2 linked regions of the Tribolium castaneum genome follow. The protein of the gene in region 2 purifies or fractionates together with the protein of the main gene of each other region. This does not show direct contact. Links are inferred from orthologs where the notes say so. Each region holds a gene or a part of one and is shown on either strand. Other genes may lie near its edges. The genes, in order: Neurl4 and Abp1.

Region 1 (8,843 bases), on a different chromosome or scaffold from region 2:
AAGGATCATTGGGCCACAACTGGAACCACAAATTAATGAAATTGTTTTTGCAAACTGCCAAGTACTCGTTAAGATCAATCGTGTATTTCTGCATGTGCGGCTTCTTCTTACTTTCTTTCGTGAAGCGATAAATTGAGAAATCCTTCAAGCGAGGACTTTTGGGGGCAGGGGGAGCACTCTTTTCTGCCGGCTTTTTTTGAGCTTGTTTGAAGTTATGTGCGGAAGTTGTAACAAATCGGGCGCCAAAATGCCCCCCATAATTTTTCAAAATTACTTTGCCGATTTTTGACATTTGGAGTTCGTTTAGAGACGTCAAAATATTGCCATTGTATTTTTTAGACTTCTAGTTTTTTATCAAGGATTGAAAAAAAGCCAATCATTGTGGTCAACATGTTTTATTCGGTCCGTAAACAAACTTAACGTATACTACAGTGCCGTGTGTCTTGGATAAAATCTGCTTGTTGTAAATAAATACATCGGTAACCTATTCTAAAATTAGTTTGATGACGAATTTGGGAAAAATAATATCACATCTTCGACTTGTTCCAATCATCAGACTAAATTCGTTAACATAATCACAGCTCGACAAAAAAAATTCCGAATGTTTAATTGCACACACCAATCGCTACACATTTAATTACATTCAATTTGAATCAAAAGCGAATGTAGAACAATTGCTCCGGTTTCTTTGGTGCTCCATTCGGGTGGATCCCTCGATACGGAGTAGGCGCTCGGTTTGACTAACAATTGAAAAGCGGCATGGACCACTCGATTGTTTGTCTTGTACCCTGAAGTCTTGCAGTTTTGTAAGGTTGGGTAAAAAACGACTTGGACATCGTCTTCTTTCTGTGCCACTAGATTACACCACTGGGCCTGGCCTTTGGTCAGCGGCTGCCCTTTGTCGAGTATACAACGCACCGCCCCCACCTTACACACGTAGAAGGCCGTGTGCCACTTATCGGTCGCTGTATTGGCTGAATTTTTCAGAGGAAATTTCACCCAACCCAGGAGAGAGTTATCTTTCTCGCCTTTTATGCAAGTCGAGCAGTGGCAGATCGGGTCGTCTGACGTAAAATAATTATCTATGAGAAAAAAAAATCGTATGGGATTAAATTACGTAAGTGGGCGAACCTGGCAAAAGGAGGCGTTTCTTAAACGTGAGACACTCGTCCCTGTAGGAACAAATCAGCGATTTGATTGGACTAGGCGGTGAGGGACGCGACACGCCCCCTGACGATGTTAGACTAGTACTTGCTGAGGGTATGGGTAAAGTCAGTCGCTCCTTTTCGCAACTTTCAAGGTCCGCCTTTTCGTAATCAGTGACCGAATTTTCGGCCACCTCTTGCGCAACATCATTCAAGATTTTAATCTGCAATCAATTGCTTCACCACGAATCAACAAACGCACCTTTACCTGTTGGCACTGCCCGTAGAGATCAAAAACAGCGTAAATGGCTTGCCCCGTTTGAAAAACAAAAGACAAAGCTTCCTCCTCAATCCCATTCACTAACAACTTCAACCCGGAAAGGGTCAACATAACACCCACAGTATCGCCAACTTGTAAATTACTCAAACGTTGGCCGAAGTTCGAACGTGACTTGACCCCGTTCACCGAAATCCAATCGTTTGCGACAATGCAACACGGTGCTTTGAACGCCAGTGCATTGACAGGTAGATTCAAACGTTCAGGTGGTCCCGAAACCACGCCCACGATAATCGACGATTGCCATCGCGTCTCCAGTTGGTCGATTATGATCTGGACCTTTGAGCTGATCTCGAGGGCGGGCTGAGCGATCACCACGCCCTGATTATATGAAGCGACACGTCTCGCAGTCGTACGACCCTCAACAATCTCGATATTTCGTCCGTGGTTGTCGTGAAATTCGTAAATTGTTGACACGTCCGGATCTCTGACCAGTTCGATTTGTTCTTGGTTGCAAAGTTCGAGACTGTCTTGCAACCGTGCGCTGTTTAGGGACCACAAGGGTGACTTGTGACTGGTCACGGCGACGGCATTACACGACCCTTTCAGGTCTACAACCACGTATAAAGTCTCAGGGAGAGGGGGCAAACACAAGTTTAATTCTTCACTGTTTATGAAAATTTTTAAAGCGCCATCGAGCGTTCGGAGTAACCCGATTCGGTCCCCGACGTTCAGCCAATGCAAGCTCGGAGTAAATAACTGAATTGTTTTGTTTCTAAATCTGAGTTCGTTCCCGGTGATGTAACAACATTGTTCGAAGATATTAATGTTGGATTTCCCGGGAGGTGTTTCCGACACGCCTATGACTATACTTCCGGCCAAATGCTCGACCAATGAAACTATAGTGACCTCGAATAGCTCCTCCCTTTCGAGCGTTGTGGCGCTACATACCACCGCCCCGGTTAAATCTTTCGTGCGTTTGGCCAATCGGCCACCGTCACTCAAACACACGCCTTTGCCGTGACAATCAGAGAAGATATGTAGATCGGTTTGAACCGCCGGTTGGACTACACTAACCGCTTGCAAACTAATGGAAGTGTCCGACCGGGGACAGTTATCTAAATTTGTGGGAATAGGAACAAGTGGGGAGACACAAGGAATGCTAACTTGGGCACATTGCCCGTAGAGATCGACAACGGCATATACCGTACTGTGGGGGACAATACAGGCGGGTCCTTGGGGGACACCGTCTCTGTAAAACTCCAAAGTTTTGTCGCTTGAACGCACGACTCCAATTCGAACGCCAGCGTCGAGAGTGTCCAAGTCGCAGGGGTAGTTGTTTTTGACCGTGGTGCCATTTTCCATAATGGAGGATCCGCTGAGCATCCAGGTGTCGCGACAGAGGTCGGTGGCGGTGCCCGGAAGCTCGATATCGTCGGGGCGAACGGCGGTCACACCTTTAGGACGATTTATTACTTACTGGGTAATAATGTCGGCCGTACTGACCTAATTCGATGCTTCCCGACCACCGATCGACGATATTGTCGAGACAAACCTCGAAAAGTTCGCCGTCGCGAAGCGGCCGACTCGAAAACACAATAGCATCATTGAATTCCGAAAGGGGGCGAGGCCTTAACGCGGTCAAGCCCCCGTTCACAATCCGGGCGTTTTTGCCATGAACGTGGTGAAACCTCAAATCACTGGTGGTTTCGCAAATTAGCTGCAATTCCAGACAAGACACGCACCTACCTGTAAAGTGTTGTGTTGGATAAACTCGAGTTAATTGTATCGGGTGATCCATAGTCGTACATGTCGATGATTGAAGCCTCAACAGCCTGGCCGTATAAATCTTAGAAAAATTACAAATTGAGGAATTTAATATTTCAATTGTGTTAGATACCTATGACTCCGAAAACTTTCTCGGGGACGTTCGAAGCGGCCGCCCCTTGATCCACCCCATTGACAAAAAAGTGTAACAACCCATTTTCCTTCCTGACCACGCCCACGCGATCCCCCACTTGCAACCTGTCCAAATTGACCCCATATTGCTCCAAAACGATCGTCCCATTGTGCATAATCCCACTTCCCGTCATCATCCACGTCCCCGACCTCACATTCGTCATAGTAAACGGGAACTCCAAATCAACCGGACTGTGCGTCGTCACGCCTATTTCAATCGACCCCGCCCACTTCGTCACCACCCTATCCAGCCTCACCTCGAACAACTCCCCCGTTTTTAAAGGCCGCCCCGTAAGCACCACCCCGTTATTAAAATCATCGGCTGCGTTCGGCCTATGGGCAGTCCTGCCATTATTAATAACTTGCGCATGCGTACCGCAATTCGGATGAAAGGTCAACCGGTCATAGTAGTCGGGAAGAGGTTGGGGATCAGGGACTGGGATTTGTTGGTCGCGGGTGTTTTTACGCGTCATGAGATTCTGCTCTTCTCTTTCGTCGCGTTCAACGATCGATACTTTGATCGTCATGCCGTAGAGGTCGATCACGCCCCAAACGGTGGAAGGGACGCGTTGGGCGGCCACCCCCTGGTCCAGCCCATTTATGAAGTAGTGTAAATTGCCGTCGGGCTTGCGCATCATGCCGACGCGATCGCCTTCGCTCAACTCGTCGAGGTTGAAGTCGCCGTACTCGCGTCTGGTGCCTTTTCCGTTCGTTAGGATGCCACAACCGGACATCATTATGGTGCCGCTGCGCATGTTGGTCATCGTGGCGGGGAATACCAGCGTGCTGGGGTTGTGCGTAGTGATGCCCATCTGCAGGCAGTCAATTGGCGATTGGCTCGCTTTGGCACTATTTTACCTCGATACTGCCGCTCCACTTGTCGACGAGGCGGTCAATTCGGATTTCGAACAGCTCCGAGTCGCGTAGGGGGCGGTGGGTCATGACCACCCCGTTGTTGAACTCGTCTAAAGGCCGGCGACGTTCAGCTGTCCGATTGCCGTTTGATAGTTTGACCAATGAGCCGCAACGATCGTGGAAACGTAACTTATCTGGTCGGGGGCACTCCTCTGGGAGACTCAGACTGTGTTTTCTATTTTAATAGGTGCCCCACATTTATGTAAAAAATATACCTCACGTTCATATCCATACGGATATCAAGACTGTTACTACTGCTCATGCTGAGTTCGCTTAAGTCGCCCCCTAGGGTCACATTTAAGATATCGTTTTCTATGGCCAGGACCGAACTGCCGCTGAGGCAGTCGTCGTTGTTGTGTTCCCGGAGGGCGGGACTAGTAATACTGACTTGGACGCATTTGCCGTAAACATCGACTATGGCATAGACTATACTTGGGATGTTTTCAGCGGCGACTCCTTGGGACTCCCCGTTGACGTAGAAAATTAAATCACCCTTAAACAGGACTTGTGTGCAAAAATTCGTGTCTGGGTCATAATACCTCAGATGTGCGCATTAAACCTATCCTATCATCCTGATTTAATTTATCCAAATCGGCGCCATACCTCTCAATTACACAATTTCCGCTCTTGAAGAACGACATTCCTGACATGATCTGCAACCCAAGTAATGACCAACTGGCCATGTAGAGGTCAACGTACCCATGAGGTGGCTTGTATTTTTGAAGAGCATGCCGGAAAATCGAAATGCAAGGGGTCACAGTCAACCACGCCAATTTCGAGGCTCCCTGACCAGGAATTGACCTGAAACCAGCAGTTAAACGCTGAACTATCACTATGAAATGGTGTACTTTTCTGTCGATTTTTATTTCGAAAAGGACATCGTTGACGAGGGGTTCGGCCGTTATTACCAAACCATTGTCGAAGTCACTGTCGCTGCGCACCGCCGTACAATTGTCGTTTAATAAAGTAATGCGTTCGCCGCAACGGTAGTGAAAATATGCCATTGTGTGCCCGTTTGCTGGCTCAAATTTGAAGCAAAAAGGGGCTGTCATCGGCCATTTGTAAACAGCCGATCATGTGTCAACTGCCAAACATTACGGCTGCCAACTTATCTCACCCAAACAAGAAATTTCTTATCGATTGATAAGTAGCGATGCTTCGTTTAGCTTATCTAATTGAGGATTATTGGAAAAAGCCGAAAGTTGTGTGAATCATTATGTTTTTTTCCGTCCGAGGTTACCCCAGTAGATCGTTTGTTCCAAATTTTTAAACTACCAACCCATGAATCGGAATTTCTGTTGAAATGCAGAAATTAAATGAATGGTCAGGAGATGTTCTACAAATGTGGTATGCAAGTCAGCGTAACAGCTTATTGATGTTTTTATAATGATTTACGATTATTTTTCTGGTGTCAACTTGGCTGTATAAAACGAGAATGGTGGGGGAAATGGTGCTAGCTCCATGGGCGCAGTGACTGTCTGGTCGACTGTAATGTTCATCATAGATTCTATTATCTATTATGATTTTTGGTGTTGTTTTCACCGATATCCTGTCATCAGTTTTAACCCCAAAAAACAAAGATGAAAGAAACATTTATCTTACCGGATTTTCAGCCTCTTTTGTACTAAATTGTATATAAACAAATATTGTAGCTAAGATCTGCTGTTCTAGGGAGGTGAGTGGTTTAAATTGCGACAAAGTCGTAATTATCTCAATCATGGGCAAGTCCCCTTACAACTCAATGGGGATGAAAGCCAAGTCAATTGGGCGAGTTTTTACAGCAGGGTGTAAAAGCGACGATGAAGTAGTAGAACCCTAATTTCCGAAATTGCCTTTATTTGCCTTAAATTTTAGTGTACGATTGAGGGTTTCTATGATGAGGAAAACCAGATCATTTATCTCCACCTCCACAGTCTTTTAGACACAGATTTATTAATTAAACACTACTCAAGTCTCGTTGAGCGGTGCAATAATGAACGAAAGTGCGACGATTTACTTGTAATTAACGACGAAATTAAGAGTAGTTTTGCTCGCGCGCTCTTACTATTGTTTCACGTGAGTCACATTATGATTTTGTCTCATCCTGGGTGGACTTTTGATACAAACTGGATCCAGTATTTCAAGGCTGTGGATACGTTAAGGTAACACGGAGCAAATTTAAACGAAAATAGGTCTTCATGCAATAATTCCAGTCAAAAAAAACTCAATAAAATAAGCGAAGTTTTGAAAAACGTTGACGGTTTGAGCCCCGATTGGGTTTCCAATGGCCGGTTTTGCACGCCCCGTGTTATTTTCTACTTTGAGCAGTGCCCGAAGGGCTCATACAACATCAAGAAGGTTGAACACAACCTTGAAGATCGCATTTACCACATTTTGAAAAAGACACGGATAATCTCAACCTATGGGTATTTTAGCAATATTGTGACATAAATTTTTTGATTATTTTTCGCTCATTAAAGTTCGTCGCTTTTTGCAATTCCGATGAATGAGGAATTCGTTTACATATCGACGGAAGCGCCAAGCACTGACCGGTTAGGGGATGCCGTCAGAGGCTTGATTCAGGATTGCCAGCCTGGCGGCGCTATGCAAGTCCAGCCCCCATTTTGCAGCCAGCCTTACTCCGAACGCCACTTTTTGAAATTCTTGCAAGTGCACATAAAACAGGCCCGGACTAAGGGTTTTAACGACACGGGGAGCTCCAGTCGGCATCAGTTGTCACAACCGGCCCACTTTGAGGTACTTCCCCATATTCTCCAACAAAAATTTGGACTAATTTTCACAGTTACCCATACTGAAACATTGGCTTGAGAGCACCAAGGCCATATACGAAGTGATAATGAAAAAAGGCTTGATCTCGTCGCTATGCACCGACACGAGATTTTCCGAACAGAGGTGTCTCAAAGTCCTGCCTTTGGCGCTAGCGCGGTACCAGGAAAACTTGCCGCCACATTACGCGCACTCAGAGCACGACAGGCGCCTCAGCATGGCCTTGGCCCTCTTTAACGCTCAGGCCAGAGGCCCTGTGTTCCAGCAATACGTCACGAAATTGAAGGCCGACTGCAAGGCGCATTGGGAGAACGGGAGACAGCAGTGCGAGGCGGCTTCCATGACCGGGAACCCGTGCAAATTGCCCAAACATCAGTCAGATCAGGAGCACATGAGCGGGTTTATTTACAAAGGTTGGTTGTAATTTTTGTGCCGCGTTATGCAAACTGTTATTTAAGCTGTTTGCGACTGCGGCCGGAAAATCGGCCCGCGTGAGGACCCCTACAACGCCAAACAAGCCAATCACCTCTTCTACCAAGCGATCAGTCGCGAATGCATTTGCTCGAAATTGGAGCGCATTTCCTTCCCCGTTTTCCAACCCTCGATCAAAGAATACAAAGCAGCGACTTTGAAAGAGACCGAAGAGGCCCTTTCGGTCCTCTCCGACCGCTCCAATGAACTCACCCCCGAAAACGAAAGGGGGCTGGTCCGCCAGCCGAGCACGACCGAATATTTACCGGGAATGCTAACCCTGAGTTCGCCCCCTGGCCTCCTCCCGGTCTACTCCAGCTGGAGTCTCGTCTGCCTCGGCCCCTCCTCGCTTTACAGCCACAATTTGGGGCTGTCGGAGTCGCACCATCCCGGTTTTTTGAACTCTACTAACTACTTGCTCCCGTGGGACGTGACAGTGTATAGCAAGGCGAAAATGAATTGGGTTAGTAAGTACCCGGCGAGGGGGCGTCGGGGACGTCCGACGGGGGCTTCGCCCCAGTTTTCGGTCAAGGTTTTCATTGGAGTGGAGTATGAGTGTTCGTCGGGACATAGATTTATGTTGGCAGCCCCGGATAAAATTCTCAAGGCCACGCCGGGGAGCATTGTGAAGGACACTGGGCATAAAATAGCAGAGTCGGATATGCCCTTGTATTATCCGTGCATGTGTCGTGCCAATAAGTTGGCACAACTGATGCGACTGCATGTTGTTACCCCCAAGGCTCCAGTGCATTGCACTCTGGACCCAAAGGTAATTTGTCAATTTTTTCGAAATTTTGTTATTTTTTGGTAAAAACTTTGACAAAACTCAGTACCTTGTTTGAACCTTGGAGAGATAAGGGGGGCTGTTTTAGGTGCAGCCCGCACCCGGGGCCCCCATTTTCATCAGTACGGTGGAACGGCCCACCAAACTGACCCAATCGGCCTATTGGGTCATGCGGTTGCCTTACGTCTATGTTGCGGATAAGGAACACTACCCGCAAAATTTAGGAGCAAAGCTACTACAGGGCGTTTTTGGAGTAACAGAAATAGAATAAATGGTTTTCAATGACTGGAATTTTTTTATGCGAGTTTGAAAGACCCGAATGTGAGAATGACTTACGAATTTCGAGAATTTGGAAGTCCATTTGTGTGGCTATGTTTATCACGATCACGAATGTATTGTTGGTTGCATGCCACACTTGACGTTTCTGGAATATTTCATTAGTTAAAATCGTGTGTGATGTTTAAATAATAAAATGGAATTCTACGACAAAGTTAAGAGATTTTTGGGGTTTTCCTCACGACAGGAG
Region 2 (8,843 bases):
TTAATAACTGTTGCAAGTAAAAATCGACTATTTGCTAAAACTGCAAGATATTCTGAGTTTTTCTGTGGCAAATTTGTCACAGGCGACTTTGCACTGATTTTTTATAACAAAAAGTTAAATAATTCCGAAACGAAAAGAGAATTTACAAAGTTACATAGTTTCTTGAGTAGAAAAAACTACTAGTTATGCAAAAATATATAGTGTACCATTTAAAAAAATATAACTTTGGTTCACCACGCTGTATACAACACTCTATTTTTAGTTTGTGGACTTTAAGTCGATCTATCGGATAATGAAAACAGCATGGCAATAATTTAAGTAACAAAAAAGTTATATAAACCGATTACGCACCCCTGGGTCACCCTGTAGATCAAACTCGTAAACAACGAAATCCATGCTTACAACAGCGGAAGCACGAACAACTAGTAACTAGTATAATTAAGAGTCTATTTACCATTATAATTTTAATTACATAACAAAATAATCAAGAAACAGTCAAAAATGTGTGGTAATTTCCAACGTTCTATAAGTAACACCATAGTGTTTAAAAAAAGTTTCTTCATACGAAAATACCAACTAAATATACTTCTAATGACATTTAGCTGCCTACGTTTAATTTCTGTGTTGATCCTATCACACGTTTCATAAAACGTATCGCTAAAAATGTTAGAATAAATAATTCATTTGCATATTTTTGAAATATGTCGGATCAAATTTACACAAAATTGGAAATAATAATACTATTGATGAAGCAGAAAATAAATTAATTTAAATGATAGTGTATTTAAATTATAGGGCATTCATTACCACCTACGCATTTTGTAATTTTTCGTGGCGTACTTTGAACTGATAAAATATTGACGTAATTATTAAATAATGTTTGATCAGTCTCATTAAATAGTGTCCCATTTGGGAGAATCCTAAATCCCTTCAAGTTTAGTCATTCATAAATAATTTGTCACCTGCGAAACCCGAATTAGTACAAGTTTCGCCAAATATCCGCCAAAGCTTATCGTTTTAGTGGATAGTTATTTTGAATTTTGCAACTGGCGTAAAAACGTGGTATTCACGTTCGATGATGATTACAGCGTGTAAAGCGAACTTGCCATTCAAAAAATCCCCTTTGTTACAAAACTCGTAATTAAATTAATTCCGAGCTGGAATATTCGGGAAGTATAAATTAAATTCGCATTGCAGCAATGCTACAATTGCACAATTAGGAAGTTTTAATCATCTCTCGGAAGGTGTACCATTCTTGTGCTAGGTCAATCCGCCAGGCTAAAATGTTGCCTGTTGCAACTGGAAATAATAAAGGAATCGATTGCACATGTAGTACAATATACACGAAGCGAGCAACTTTATGGCTTTGTCCTGGAACAGTTTCCGAGCAAAATGCTCGTCATCAATATATTCGAAAAGTGCCCCGCTGTTAAGCTGTCAATTCCAAAATTATCGTAACTATGGCGACTTAATCATAATGAAAATAACGTTGCTGGTCAATTCCGGCGATACTCACTGACCAAAGCTTCAGATGCACTGCCACTTTGTTGTACCTCATCTCAACCGTCGTCTTGACTGATTTTGCTAATGCAACAAGCCGATAAATTCAATAAATGAAGCTGCACACTCGACTTGTCCAATCGATAAATTACCATCGAAACTGTTACGTATCACAGCCAGTGGCAATTTACTGATAAGGTCGGGAACGCACATTGGAACCCCATTGCAAATTTGCTGACTCTTTCACTCAAAAACTGAACATTCTTTCCACTGCATTCAAATGCATATTTTCAAATTCCAAGCGAAATAAATCAAGACTGGATGCCAAACGAAATATTTCGTATTTCCGGAAGCAATTTCCCAATAATGACAGAAATTAATGGTAATACGAAACGCATTTTATCAGCGAATTTCATGAATAAAATTACAACCAAATTTCATTAATAACAATAAGATTTTATACGGTTTTAATGTATTCATCAAATTTTATGTGCCGCTGAACTCTAGAAATGAGTGAAATTTTAAAGCTGTTGTCGGCTTCAAATTGAAATGATCGATGAGTGCGTATCTAAAATAAATCACACTGTTTTGTTTCAATCGCTGTAAAATAATAATAATTTATTTGCGAACCGTATACATCACAAATATTTAAAAATTATTTGCGCTTTGAGGGTAAATATCAAAGCTAGTTTAAACGCAATTAAAATAATTAAATAATTTCAGGACGATGCAATAAAACACCCAATTGTAAAAAATTACGTAGCTTTATTATCCATAAATACATACAAGATTACAATCGCTATATACCATATCACAAAGTAAAGATTTATGAAGTGCAAAAGATCATAAGTCTTGGTAAATGTTTATTTGTGCTATGATGCAAGTAAGTCGTACAATATTATAAAATTATTTATCAACAGTTAACTGTTCCATAGAGTTTTTAATTAAAATTTATAATAACAATCATTGAAACGCAATTTTAACAAACAAATTGGGGTTTTAATTTGGTGAAGTTGGCACAGAAGAGCATACCCTAGCTGGCAGTGTGGCAAATCAAAATAAAAAGGCGACAAGCTTTAAAAATAAAAAACACACCGTTCGTAATTTATTAAAACATTAATACTTCACAATTCGTTTTATTGCACAAGAATAATTACAAACGGTGTGTCGATACGTTCCTAAAAATAAAATTTTGGTATTTTTTAGTAAACTTAACCTATTATCGACAAAATATTGCGCTTGAAAAATACTAAATAAATGCGTTATGAGCAATGGAATAAGCGAAGCGACGGTAGAAATACAAATGAAAATTATTGGATCAACTCAACATAATTAGCGGGGAAAAGGCCATAAGTACCATTGGGAGCCAGTCCTTGCCACCATCCCTTGTCAACTTGATCAATATTCGTTATTATGTCGCCTGGATCAAAACTGATCTCGGTATCGTCCACTGGAAAATAAACATTGATTTGAATAACAAGGCGCTAAAATTGATCATTTATTATGAATATGCAGAGTGTAAACAACCAACGAGCTGAAATAAACATTGAGTGTTTTTCTGAAATCGAAATTAATAGTACAGACTGCTTTGTAAACTTTACACAGGATTATATATTATATATTAAATTTTATTAGTCCTGAATAAATTTAAATTTAGCACACGACCCTGAACTTCGTCATTGTAAACAAATATGATAGTATTTGAGGTCAACTCTTTAAAATCCGTTACACTGTTCAAAAACCATTAAGTTTAAGTTAATAAAAATTAACCACAGAGTTCTTTTTACGAATGAAAGAATGAAGAATAATATTAAATATGGAGATAAGTGCCGGCTGAACACTGCAAATTTCCGCACCAACGATTTCAGAAAAAGCTCTACAAATAAAATCGTCTTACCAGCCTGATAATCGTACAACGCTCTAGCCTGCAGTCCAGGTGTGCTAAACTCATATAGATACTCATCAACAAATTGCTGATCTGTAATTTGCTCCACCCGCTCCTCTTGGGGCTCTTCCTTTCTCACTTCAAAGACTTCCTGTGGCGTTGTGGGACTAGTCACACTCTTCTTTTCCACATCTTTTGGTGACCTTTTAATTGTGGAAAACTGATCACTTTCGTCGTCACTCTCCTCCAACTTATTTTCCACACTCAATTGATTTTGTGCTTTCAAAATGGAATTTCTGACCGGTTTTTCGGGCACTTTTTTCTGCCCGGCCACCGTGTGCTGTTCAAACACCGACCGGGCGTCAATCGTTCTTTGTGCTATTAAATCGTGCGCCTCTTGATTTCGCTGTTTTCTCAAAACATCGCTTTGATTAACTCTAGTTGGAAAATCATCGTCGTAGTTCGAACCGGAAACCGACTCCACGGCGGCCTCCTTTTCCGCTTGTTTGATTTGATCAATGTTGTTATTCCTGAGGGACATTTCCGCATCCCGTTTGGCCGCCTCTTCCAATTCCCGCCGCCTTAGCTCTTCCTCGTTCTTCATTCGCTCCATTTCTCTGCGTTTCCGCTCCTCTTCGACCCGTTTCTTCTCTTCTTCCTCCTCTTTGCGCCAAAACTGGTCCCGTTCACGAGCATTGATTTCTTTTATGGGATTGACGCGTTGATAAGTGGTCCCAACGGGACCTGTGGGCTCGATAATCTCGGCTCTGGGGGCTTTGAAACTGTATGCCGAGCCCGATTTTGCGACCTTATCTATGATGAGCTGAGGCTCGACTTCCTCCTCGTTACGAGCGTTGATTGTTAGGTGAGCGCCGGTGAAAAATTTCTCAATGTCGCGTAAGTGGTTGGCGGATATGCCTTTACGCACCGTATTGGCGCCTTCTCCTTGCCAATTGATTAGAACGAACTTAATTAAAGAGGTTTTCGGGTCGTTCACTTTCACAAAGGCGTACATTATTTTTCCGCTGTTTAAGTCTTCCGTTAGTTCCTCGATTCCGTTGGAACCCTTACTCACAAATTTCAAAACGTTGGTTTGACCCTCGTAGGCGAATAGGGCCCTAAAATGCGAGCGAGACACCCATTAGGCAAAACCGCATAAATTATTTAAGGAGTGTATTACCAATCTGTTGGTGTTTTCGCATCAAGCACATCTTTCCAAGCTGATACAAGCTCATCCCGGTATTTGTCTAAATTTATTGACATGATTTTAATTCATTAAAGCCGGAAAATTAAGACAATTCAACAAAGATAACAAATCACACAACCACTTGACGTTTGACATGTGAGAGAAACCACTACCAACGGCACGGTCGGAAATCCCTACATTTGAAAAAACGCGCAATTCCATAACATCCATCAGCATTTTCCGATTGTTTGAAATGTTCTTTGCTCTTTTTGACGATTTAAACGAAAAATTTGTATACGTAAAAACGATACTTACAACAACTGTAAAACGATGAGAAAATGCTTTTAGCATGAATATTAATTTAAACTACATTCGGTTCACTTTCATAAAAACCATTGTGGTGGAAATTGAGTTTATCCACCAAAAAACTTCAAATAATCACTTTTCTTAAACTGCTTACCAACATAATATAGTCAATTACGGTCTCGTTATATAATCAAATCATATGCCATATCCAGGTCAATATATGCCATATGAACCTCATCTCCATATGAGGTTCAATAATTATGCACCAAATAAAATTTATGATTATCTAAGTAAGTGGAAATATTTTGAAATAATGTGTATTTCTAATCAACATGTCTCCTTTTCCATGACATTTTAAAAAAAAAATTGTTTCCGAAATTACTAAAATTTTACTTACAAATGTTTACTAAATACTATTATAAAACGTTACTGGCGTTTTTTAAGTAAATATTATAACGAAGAAGACAACTGGTGCAGCTTTAGATTCACCACGACTTGGTGTAGTTACTATGAAGTAAAAACTACCTTACAGTAAATTTTCAAATAAGATTTACGTTTTAAAGACACCTGCTTTTTACTTACTTAATGGTTTAAGTCATTGAAGTCAAATATAATGATTTATTTACCTCCACATTACTATTGATTATTTAATTAAACTTTACATTACTTTAAAGTTGTAAAAAAAATAAAATCAGTTAAAAATCCTAAGTTTTAGTCTTTGCAATTTAAGCTAATTGGGTACTTTATTATCCACCAAAACATTTCTTAAATTGCTAACCGATGTTTTTTATGCTTGTAAAAATTATGTAACAAAATTTCCTGCACTTTATTTTTATTTATTTCAAACAATCAATCAAATACTTATCTTTAACAATAATAAAACTTTTATATATTTTTTAATGACAAACAAAACAATTATAAGATAGGTATCAAAGTGTTTATTGCCAATTTTATCTTTTCATAAACCTGATCCACTTGACATCACCCAAACAACTTCAACCTCTATTTTCATTTAATTCCCCCTTCAAGGCGGTGAACATTTTGCTCTCTTGTCCAGTTCCAAGTAGTTCCCCCGAGTAACAACAACGATGGCTCTCACTTGCATCGACCACGAAAAATTATACGCTAAAGACGCCAACGTGAAGCGTGAAGACGTCAGAATCATCCAAGAATGGCTGAAAAAACAGCCCCATTTGCCAATGCTCGAAGGTCAGTTTGATTTTATTTGCGCTTTTTCCTCAAGTAACATTTCCAGAAATGCAAATAATCATGGCCCTTCATAGCTGCTACTATCGAATTGAAGCGGCCAAAATTACCATTGACAATTATTTCACCATTCGAGATGTTTGTCCGGAGTTATTTGAGAGTTTAGATCGAGATGGTATTAAAAGGGTTTCCAGTGCTTTGTATACCTATTTCAAACGCTCATTAACGTCACAAATAAATCGGGGAATTACAGGTTTGCGAATGTTCTCACGAAAAAAACTCCCGAAGGATATGGTATCCTAATGTTGCGACTTTTCGATGACAAACCCGAAGTTTTCAACTGTGCCACTTTTCTCAATTACATAGTTATGGTTGCGACTTTGCACTTGCATCAGAACGGTTTCCTAAACGGAGCTATGGCAATTTTTGATATGAAGGGTTTTGGCTTGGGGCATGCAGCCAGACTCAACTTAAATGTGATCAAACATGCACTAAGTTTCGTTCAGGTATATATTATAACCAACTTTAAGATTTGTGTACCTAACGATTGTTTCAGGATGCACTACCCGTTAGGATAAAAGGAGTGCATGTTATCAATGCTCTTCCTCTGGCTGATAAAGTTTTGGCCATGTTGAAGCCCTTTATCAAAAGTGACCTGTACAATATGGTACTGTAAAAACGTAAAATGGCCTTGTTTTCGCAACTGCTGGCTTTTTCAGATACAATTCCATCCTCCGGGATCCGAAACCTTGTATAAACACGTACCGAAAGAATGTTTACCGGAAGAATACGGGGGCCAGCTTTCCTCAATGCAAACCTTGAATGGTAAGATTTTTTCAGCGAACGAAACGAGTTTCAAGTTTTTTTTGACAGAAAAAAGCGTAAACAATATGTTGGACCACCTCGACTTCTATAAATGGCACGATGGGCAAAAAATCGACGAATCCAAAAGAATTGGTAAATCGAAATTTGCAAGCGATTTTGGTGTTGATGGAACTTTTAAAAGACTTGATGAAATCGACTAATACGCACAAATGTGCAAGTTTTATTTTATTACCAATTTGAAAAAAAAAAGAAAATAATTAGGTATTCTGTTGGGTATTTGTGAACTTGGATTTTTATAACACAAACCTTGACATAACAATAAACATGTTTTATGTGAGCATTATCTTTCTTTGATATTACTCTAATTATTTTTTTAATTAGCTCTTTGCCTTCCTTAATTACACGTGAGGGCGAAAGTGTAATTGATAGGTAGCAGACCTTGAATTATTGCATTTTGACACTGAAAACCTATGGCCAAATTATTACCACTAAAGGTCACCCAGGTAAGTTAATTAAGAGGAAACTAAATTAATCCAAAATTAAGTTAAGTATATAAATTATTCATAAACTTAAATTAGAAAAAGTGTTCAAATATTTGGGTTGGTTTGTTTACTATGGATAACTACCAAACAAACTCACAAAAAATATAAATAAGCAAAACCAACGCTTCAGAAAAAACTTATTTTTACTTTTAAAACAAATTCAGCACTCCTTCATGAAAATCCTTCTAACTTAGTTTTACGAGTTAGATATTCAAACGATATTTACATTTTAAAGAATGTAGTACGTTTTGTGCATAATAATTTTGAAAGCATAGATTTTACATTTCAAAAGTAACAGCACCGTATGTATTTATTTCCACTTTTCCAGCATTCAAATATGAAATAATTCTCATGTCATGTTTCTGGTATTGTAAGTTTTTGTGTTAATTTTGCTTTAATGACATTTTTTTCGAATTCATTATAGTGTCATTTTCCAATTAAAATGCACTATTATGTAATTGGGCGCTCAAATGCACACATTATCATATTTATTTTGTAAAAAAATTGAAATTGCGACCACACAACTAATTTTCTCTAATAAGTTACACAATTAGCATTTCTTAATTAATGAACTTTATAAATTATTCTATTAGGTTCTCGAAAAAAGCTCTATTCAAAAATGCCAGCAGGGATCAATCTTGCATTAAAAATGACTATGCAGATTTTAAAAACTTCCACACGTGTGGAAAACTTCAATTAAAAAGGCAGGTTTTGCTGAAATACGTCACTGTTTCTGAACTTTGTTTAGCAAAATTTGAAAAAAAAAACTCATTTCTTTTGTTGAACCTTGAATACAAAAAGAGTCGCTTTTCTTCTTTTTTATTCTTTTATATAGTGGATTTCCTTGGCTCTAAATTTGCCATCAGGATCCAGTATGTCGCAGACGCAATTATCTTACGTTATAAAAAATTATTATATCTATTAAGTCTTTTTATTATAATTATTATGCTGACGTGCTCTGAATACGCTATTTTGGAACTAGTTTTATTATATTTCTGTAAGCAAATGACGTTTTTATTTCAGATTTTTTATGACTATTGCTTATTATCAAAATGAATTAATTAAATAAATTCTAAACAACCGATGCTTAAATGTTATTTTGTGAAAAAAAAGACGTTACTTGAAAAATAAAAATTCAAACAATTCTATCCGCTCAAGTCGTTTTGTTAGGGACTGCAATTTTTAAGTCACCCTCGTACATCATTAGAAAACTGTATTAATTGTTTATACATATTATTATTTAAAACAGGTAATTAATACTACTTTATGCTGCAATAATTATTTCTTATAATTATTATTAAGTATAAATAGATATGACAGCAAAATTGAATAGAATGTTAGATAATTAACAATTAAAAAAATGTAACAAAGTAGGATACTGGTTGTGCATATT

The links.
Region 1: the proteins of Abp1 (region 2) and Neurl4 purify together in Homo sapiens (co-immunoprecipitation; 4 studies listed by BioGRID and IntAct, counting the BioPlex papers as one, with this or other methods). This does not show direct contact. The link is inferred for Tribolium castaneum from reciprocal best matches to the Homo sapiens genes DBNL and NEURL4.

Annotation. Positions count from the first base shown.
Region 1 is NC_087398.1:5,349,152-5,357,994, forward strand, and holds Neurl4 (neuralized-like protein 4), read right to left. Parts: upstream 5,643-8,843; 5' UTR 5,349-5,642; coding exon 5,145-5,348; intron 5,098-5,144; coding exon 4,996-5,097; intron 4,950-4,995; coding exon 4,836-4,949; intron 4,790-4,835; coding exon 4,512-4,789; intron 4,463-4,511; coding exon 4,240-4,462; intron 4,194-4,239; coding exon 3,323-4,193; intron 3,272-3,322; coding exon 3,172-3,271; intron 3,123-3,171; coding exon 2,929-3,122; intron 2,880-2,928; coding exon 1,414-2,879; intron 1,370-1,413; coding exon 1,132-1,369; intron 1,083-1,131; coding exon 634-1,082; 3' UTR 380-633; downstream 1-379. Other genes in the region: succinate dehydrogenase [ubiquinone] iron-sulfur subunit, read right to left, coding at 1-19, 66-292; nonsense-mediated mRNA decay factor SMG8, read left to right, coding at 5,877-5,917, 5,968-6,100, 6,151-6,437, 6,489-6,701, 6,756-7,032, 7,079-7,475, 7,521-8,302, 8,406-8,588; HCLS1-associated protein X-1, read left to right, coding at 8,790-8,843. UniProt on the Homo sapiens protein: Promotes CCP110 ubiquitination and proteasome-dependent degradation. By counteracting accumulation of CP110, maintains normal centriolar homeostasis and preventing formation of ectopic microtubular organizing centers.
Region 2 is NC_087394.1:35,487,138-35,495,980, reverse strand, and holds Abp1 (drebrin-like protein), read right to left. Parts: upstream 4,751-8,843; 5' UTR 4,649-4,750; coding exon 4,566-4,648; intron 4,504-4,565; coding exon 3,398-4,503; intron 2,951-3,397; coding exon 2,811-2,950; 3' UTR 2,246-2,810; downstream 1-2,245. Other genes in the region: alpha-tocopherol transfer protein, read left to right, coding at 5,966-6,086, 6,133-6,283, 6,337-6,589, 6,640-6,750, 6,803-6,908, 6,957-7,108. UniProt on the Homo sapiens protein: Adapter protein that binds F-actin and DNM1, and thereby plays a role in receptor-mediated endocytosis.